2 linked regions of the Tribolium castaneum genome follow. The protein of the gene in region 1 interacts with the protein of each later gene in a biochemical or structural test. Links are inferred from orthologs where the notes say so. Each region holds a gene or a part of one and is shown on either strand. Other genes may lie near its edges. The genes, in order: nuclear pore glycoprotein p62 and sxc.

Region 1 (4,101 bases):
CTCATATTTTAAAGCCCTATATTTATATTATAATAACTGTAATATTTTTTAAATAAAATACCACTTTCCCCAAATAATTGTTTATTCACTCCTAACACCACGACGGGACAAGCAAGAGTGCCCGTTCGTCATTCTCCTACTTGCTTCCCCCTACCTCACTCAGCCTTTTCTATATAGGTACAGTACTTAATACACTACAATAACAAATTAGTTCGGTTATAGTGAATATATGAACTTCACTTTTAACGTTCGAAATTTAGACAAAAAAGTGGTCTAGGACTCGGTTATAAGTTATAAGTTATAACGTACGCACATGCACTTACAGCACTTACATGCACTTACAGCGACATTCCAGCAGGCACATAAACAGACCAAGTAATTAGAAATCTTTAAATTTAGGATACGAAACTAAAAATTATTGAATTGTTAGATAACTATTAAACATAGATGAATGTAGATAAATATGCTTTTCTAATAAATTAAATTAATACTTTATTTCGTGTATCTGTTTCACGTTTAGAATTCAGTTGACTTGAAAACTATTCTATAAACGACGATGTTCGGATAAAACAAACGATCGGGTATAATACATAACAAACAAATTCTGAAGTCCCTTGAGTGTTCGTTATAACCGAGTTCCACTGTAACTCACCAATTTAGGGTGGAGTTTAAATGAGAGCGATTTGAGACACTGTAGATCTTCCCCTTTTCAAATTGTTTAATTTGATTCGTAAGCATCTTAATAATCTTAATATATTAATCTCTTAATAGTCTGAGAAAAACTACCAACTAAAATAGTAATGACAAAAATTTAAATTATCCTTCGTCCTATATTTTTTTGAAAGGCGGTCTATAGGGTTTAAGATATAAAAATTAAAAAGTTATAGAAGATTAAAATTTCTCACAAAAAAGTTTGCGGAATCATCTTTAATGGTTTGAATGTTTGAGTGATGGAAAATAATTTGCACTTTAAAACAATTTAAACTTATTATTAAAGATAAAAATTTGGCTTTTCGGATCTTTTTAGAGAAAATTTAATTCTCTCCACTTTTTTTGTTTTTTTTTTGTTTTTTTTATACAATTTTGACTTTACTTACGGGTAACAAAAATAAAGATAAAACCTTCTGTTATAAAAAAGTGGAATATGGAAGCTTATGACACTAGAAACGCCAACGGACACTTATGATTATAATTTGAAACTTAATTTTCCTCCTTCCTAAATTTTATGAGGCCATGGTTAAAAAATCCATCTTTCCCTCAATCGCCACTAGTGCCGCCACCATCGTTTTAAAATTTAACGTCAAGCTAACCTATAAATTTTGTGAAGCTACTTGAAGCTAACTAATTTTCTGAAAATGTCTTTCAATTTCGGTGCCCCTAAAACGGCTACAGGTTTCACATTACCTACCACTAGCACAATTGCCAGTACGTAAGACATTTTGCTAACCAAAACGCAACTAACCCTTTTATTACACAGCCACCACAGCTACGGGCGGTGCAGGCGATACCAAACAGCAAACCCCTAACAAACCACTAACAAATCTATTCGGTACTCCTACGACCAGTACCGGGTTTTTCCTGGGTACAACCCCCAAAACAACAGCGTCAGTAAGTTTCGGCTTAACAACAACAAGCGCAACCTCAACTCCCAGCTTTACAATAACTCGTTAGTAACCCTTTTTTGTTAAATTTATGTAATAATTAGTCAACTTTAGCTGCGACTTCGACGACTACGCCGCAGTTCAGTCTAGGGACAAGTGCTTCAACCACTACCACCGCTGCCACTTCGTTTACTCCTATTTTGTCCACAGGGACATCCCTATCTTCAGGTTTAAAAAAATTAGGGTTTTGTAGTCTTTACACGATTTAAATTTAGGTTTTTCGTTGGCAAGCAGCGCTGCAACTTCCGCACCTTTGAAACTAACCACAACCCTAACCCCTTCAAGCACAACAACAACATCAGCCTCTGGTTTAGGCCTAGGGGGGCTTACAGCTACTACACAGTATGTACTCTAATTATAAATACTTTTAACCCGCGCAAATGCGTGTCACAGTTTATAATAACATATATCAAGAGTACTGTGAAAGTTTAGTTAAAGTATGTCTTGACTAGTATTTTATTAAGGGTACTAATAAAAAGATTATTAATAAATTCGATTTTGATCATATAATACGAGTGCGAACACACTAGGTTAAAGTTCGAGGGCTGTCGTTATACAACGAGCATATGCGAGTTGCATACTTAGACATTATTATTTTTACTGTGCGTTTAATTCGTACCGTTTTATTATTGTATGTCGAATTTATCAAATTTTGAACCATATCTTGCGTAAAATATTGATTAAAATATTTGAAATCTTTTTTTTTAACAAACTTAAAATCAGCGTTGACAATGCTCCACCTGGTTCCTGATTTGTATTATATTGTAGTTTTGATATTTCATTAAATATAAGAGTTTATGAACATACGTCCGGGAAATTTTTACAGCACTTTTGATATGTTTCGTATAATTTTTAAGAGCGCCAGCTGTGACCACCACAACAGCAGCAAGTCTGCCAACTTCTGGTACCTTAACCTATGCTCAGCTAGAGGACTGTATCAACAAATGGACTATAGACTTGGAAGAACAAGGAAAATTCTTCATTAATCAAACAAAACAGCTGAACGCTTGGGATAACCTGTTGGTTTCAAACACTGATAAAATATTGGCCTTGAATGAAACAATTGAGCGTGTGAAACAGCAGCAGAAACAACTAGACCAAGAGCTTGATTTCGTATTAGCTCAAGATAATGAATTAGATGAGTTGAGTCTTCCTCTAGAGAAACAATTAACTGATATTCCAGTCACGGATCAGAATAGATTCCAAACGTAATTGTTTATTACAGTAAAATATTCGACATTCTGTGGGTGTTTTAGGTATCAATTGTCTGAAATAATTGACTCCCAATTGAAGCAAATGTCCGAGGATTTGAAAGAAATTGTGGAACATTTGAACGAGTCTAACAAAAATGAAGATATTACTGATCCGGTTTGTGTCAACAAATGTTGTCAAGACTGCTCTGCCTACTTCACAGCACTCTTGGCCACATTTTTGTTTCGACTCACTATCCTATCATGTGTGTATGTTGTAGGTCATTCAAGTCAGTCGCATTCTAAATGCCCACATGAATTCGCTCCAGTGGATTGATAGAAACTCGTCTCAGATTTGCTCTCATTTGGAACAGATTACACAGTTACATGAGACTTACAAGAAAAACGTTTTTATTAAAATTTCCTCTATACAATAACGCCTTGTACAAATTTCTCATATCAAACAATAAATCTAACAAGATATTGCACTTAGTCGCTTTTTGAATGTCTGTGGCTTTTTGTTTCTTCCTCTGGGGGGCTTCCTTCATTCCCCTTGACTGTAAATGTGACGTAGTATCGCTTGTTCTGATCCAGACGATCCGCAGGCAGTGATATGACTTGTTTGTCGTTTCCGTGGCACAGTTCGAGTGTCACGGCCTTTTTCGTATTAATTGTTGGCAGAAAACCTGTGCCGGGTTTGCACTGCGTTGACGTAAACCCGATTTTGGGGATAGTGTGGTGATCCATTTTGGGAACTACAAAAATATGAGTAAACTTGCAACAAAGCTTTTTGATTAAAAAAATAAAGAATTTGTAATTTCATACTTTTGCTCGTTTTGAAATTCCAAAGTTTTTGATAAATAACGTATTAATTGATTGACGCCCGATTTCTTGAACGGTTTATCGATAGATAATCTGTACCTGCGAGTTAAAGAAGTGTAAGTCCATTTTTTACGAAAATGATATAATGCGTAATTTTAAATATTTAGCAACCACTTAAACTGAAAATGTCCTCAAAATGTTAATATGAAGGACTACCTTTACTAAATCAAAGTTACAATTAACAGTATAGTATATTTCAGAAAAATTAAATTTCCTGTTTATCCTGAAAGTGTTAAAAAATGTTCTAAGCAAAAAAACTTTATACAAGAACGGACAAAATACATTTTGCTCGACAGTAACAATGGGTTTCCGCATTTTAACGGTGAGAAAATATTATCTATTACAAACAAATGTTGAACGACAAAAAA
Region 2 (3,830 bases), on another chromosome or scaffold:
CAGGGCTTGATATTAAAACACTTCATACTTTTCTCGGTTCATGTGAATTTTTTTGGAATTTCTGTACAATTTTCTATCATTAAAATCCATTATGTTACTTATTGTTTCTTAAAATACTTAAAATAACTGGCGCTATTCTGAAAAAACAATTAAAATAAGTACTGAAGATTTCATCTAACTTTTCTTAAAAATAAATGTTTTATTATGAAAATAAAGACCTAATCTATTTTTCTGAATTTTAAATTTTAATATCGAAAATCGTTAAAGTCTGATACATAATTCAAAACTGACAAACATGTGTCACATTTTGCATTTTGTCGTTTCTCTGATTTTGTGTAACATGAACTAATACTTTTTGTGATTATCTTTTTCTTTTAATTAATGATGGGTTTTCATCGTTCAAAATTTGTTACTTGTAATTACACAGATTTTTTAAAAAATTTTTAAAAAGTCTTTTTTGTGATCTATTCCTTTTTATAAATGTACAAATGCCATTTTGACGTTGTTTAAAGGTTTGAAACGGCTGTTCTCTTAGCTCTTCTAATCAGTTTTTTCAAATAGTAAAGAGAAACCAAGAAAAGCAGTAAATACAGAAAGCTACGGATCAAAAATCTGTACAAGTTTTCTCTAATCTTGTCATAGATAAAAGTCGCAGTAAATAATATTTCAAGTAGTAAACATTTTAATATCATATCGTGTTAAACTTCTTGCTAAGTTTCTTATAAATTTTTTGTTTTAAAATTTGAGGAAACAACCTGTATTTACGTAATAAATAGATCATAAAAAATTAAATAATTCAAAGTTTTAAAGCGAGTCAAAACTTCTAAGTAAGTATATCAAGTTAGTTGATGTTTATAACTTATAAGTTATAACAGAAGAAGAAATGTACTCTTGCTGCCAACGGTATGAACGTTGGTTTTTTGTTCAGTCTTATCTGATGCTGAAGTTAACGAATAAAATGGAATTGCTAAAGTTTCCTGCTGCTTTGTTCATATTTAGTTTAACAATTGTTTAAAGTGGCTTCGTGGATAAGAATTTTTTGCGATTTTGTAAGCTATGTATTAAGGAATGTGAATAATTTTTGGAATATTTTAATACAGTACATTAAACTTGGGACATACTTTTCATCACTTTCGTGTTGTAGAAAGTAAATTCATTATTCACAATATGAATTAAAAATTGGTTGCTTCAGAGTTCGTAATTTTGAGTATTCAATGGCCAAGTTAAATAATTTTGTAGTAGTTATTTTTAAACCGAACTTGTTTACATAGTTTTATAACTTCACGTCTCTGTCATTTTGTAGTAAATTACATTGCAGCAGGAAACAGTTTTACTTAGAAAACGTTTTCGATTCCAGTAATTTGGGCAACGTGTACAAAGAAAGAAGTCAGCTGCAAGAAGCACTCGATAATTATCGACATGCAGTGCGTCTTAAACCAGATTTTATTGATGGATACATCAACTTAGCTGCAGCTCTTGTTGCTGCAGGAGATATGGAGCAAGCAGTTCAAGCATACATTACCGCATTGCAGTACAATCCAGTAAGTACATAATACATTCCAAGCGATATTTGCCTAAATTGTGCATATTATTCTCTCCTCACAGGATCTCTACTGTGTTCGTAGCGATTTGGGTAACCTCCTAAAAGCATTAGGTCGTTTAGACGAGGCCAAGGTATGTTCAATTATCATCATGATGTGTTTTATTTATTTCAGAATACTATTTCCATCTACTCCAATTTATTTCAATCTCCAAAATTAAAAAATTGAGTAAAATACAAATTTTACAAGGCATAATATAAAAAACCCAGGCTGATATTTTCCCAAGTGCGCATTGCGTAGAGTTTCACCTTGTGCGTCTTACTAATGTGTTAAATTTTTACACCAAGAGTGAAAAATTAGCACATAGCATTTGCGTAATTCCATTTGAAACACACCGTTTTATGAGTAGTTTTGGCTACTAGCGATTTTTCTGGCCTGAGATGAATGCGTTATCAGTGCAAGCTTGCGAAGATTTTTTTTAATTATGTTTTTATCACACTTGAACAGTTTGTTACTTTTGACGCAGTCATTTTATTTTTCTCTAAATTCTGAGACAGTTATTAGTTTTGAAGGTAAAAATCGTCAATTGTTTATTTAAAAACTAATAACTGTCGAATTTTCAGGTGCCCTGCGTAGATTTTTTTCAGTTGTTCTTCCTATTTTTTCTTTTGTTTATTCAGTCATTGTAACAGAAAATATCAGCCTAAAACAAAATATAAAAAATGGATATGAATTATAAAAAGTAAAGCAGCTTATCTGTAGATACTGCAATCATTTCAATTGAACAACAACCTATTATTAGTCACTTCCACGCAATTATTTTTAATTAAAGTTCAGTTTCATTTTTTAAAGTCATGAATGTTTTATTTTTAGGTAATTATTAAATTCCAATACAGTTTAATCTACAGATTTTTCGTTTATATATTTCTCCAGATATATGTAAATTTGAAATGTGTTGTAATACCCTGTATAATTTAACTGTACAGAATGTCTCTTCTGAGTTTTTTTCAGTCAATATCTTTGTTATTAATAATCAGCAAAATACATGTTGTTAATTCAAATAGCCAACGGTTTTAACGAAAAAATACAAAAATACCTTTTTTTTTAATTGTAAATACTACAGTTTTATTTACAGAGATATTTTTATTGAAACAAAAAGGTAAGTCAAAATGTATGTAAAAAAGTGTTACAAAGATCATTGCTAGTTCAAGAATTTTAAACAAGAAGTGGCTGTTTTTTTGTAAGCTGGACAATATTTCATCTCGTGACAATTTTATAAAATTAGGAGAACTCGCGTTTTTTACTCAGAAACGTAATTATTTCGTGAAATTTGTCAAAGTCGAAAAATCACTAAACTAGAACTAATATGGTGTATTTATTGTATTTTGCGAACTATTTAGCACACTTTTCGCCTGAAATATAATTGTTTAGCGAAACTGGATCACCTGAGAAACCTGAATTTGTATATTTTTTTTTTAGAAAAGAACAGAGCTAAAAAATTGGTTAAGCTCTAATTATTACGAGAAATTTTGTTAAAAATAAGCTCAATTGTGTCGGAAATTGTGTAATTTTGACTTTTTTTGAGTCGAATACTTTATTTATTTTGCGATTAAACTTGTTTTGTGCTAAAATTTTGGGTCTTTTGCTAGATTTTGTTAATATGTGACGTGAAATCGACTAAAATGGCGATTTTTGGGCGTTTTACAAAGTATTTCACTCAGAAGTGTAATTAATTCGAGAAATTTCTTAAAAATAAATCGAAAAAAGCACTAAATATGGTCTAGTTTTAACCTTGTTTGAGCATTTAAGCATATTTTTATCCTGAAAACTTGGGAGGTAATTGTTTAACGTATATTATAAAAAATATAATTGAAAAATGGTTGCATTGGGACTATTTTTTAAAATGCTTTACCGCTGAATACCTTTTTAAGAAAAAACATTTACGTGAAATTTTAAACACAGAATTGAGTTTAAACACAGAGAAGCTCAATAATTCCGGCAATTTCATTAAAAAATGCAAGTTTTGTGGCAAATAGTGCCATTGTCTTCTCTTTGTTTTGAGCTAGAATTAGTTAAAAATGGCATGTTTTTTTGAGCATTTTAGCACTTTTTTATTCAGAAATGCAATTATTTTGAGTAAAAATAAATCGAAAAGTTAAAAATTGATTAGACATTTGTGTTATTAAACGATGTTGCGTTGTATTTTGTAATAATTTTTAGCAAAAAATTTAGTTTTTCGCGAAAATTTTCGAAACACTAAATTGGGTTTCAGGTGATATTATTTATCGT

The links.
Region 2: of the proteins of nuclear pore glycoprotein p62 (region 1) and sxc, one has a biochemical effect on the other in vitro, tested with the Homo sapiens proteins (2 studies listed by BioGRID). The link is inferred for Tribolium castaneum from reciprocal best matches to the Homo sapiens genes NUP62 and OGT.

What each region holds. Positions count from the first base shown.
Region 1 is NC_087396.1:18,040,498-18,044,598, reverse strand, and holds nuclear pore glycoprotein p62, read left to right. Parts: upstream 1-1,253; 5' UTR 1,254-1,355; coding exon 1,356-1,425; intron 1,426-1,477; coding exon 1,478-1,666; intron 1,667-1,715; coding exon 1,716-1,829; intron 1,830-1,876; coding exon 1,877-2,003; intron 2,004-2,518; coding exon 2,519-2,869; intron 2,870-2,917; coding exon 2,918-3,029; intron 3,030-3,132; coding exon 3,133-3,288; 3' UTR 3,289-3,340; downstream 3,341-4,101. Other genes in the region: ankyrin repeat domain-containing protein 12, read right to left, coding at 3,341-3,606. UniProt on the Homo sapiens protein: Essential component of the nuclear pore complex. The N-terminal is probably involved in nucleocytoplasmic transport.
Region 2 is NC_087394.1:6,428,419-6,432,248, reverse strand, and holds part of sxc (UDP-N-acetylglucosamine--peptide N-acetylglucosaminyltransferase 110 kDa subunit), read left to right. Parts: intron 1-1,357; coding exon 1,358-1,541; intron 1,542-1,605; coding exon 1,606-1,674; intron 1,675-3,830. UniProt on the Homo sapiens protein: Catalyzes the transfer of a single N-acetylglucosamine from UDP-GlcNAc to a serine or threonine residue in cytoplasmic and nuclear proteins resulting in their modification with a beta-linked N-acetylglucosamine (O-GlcNAc).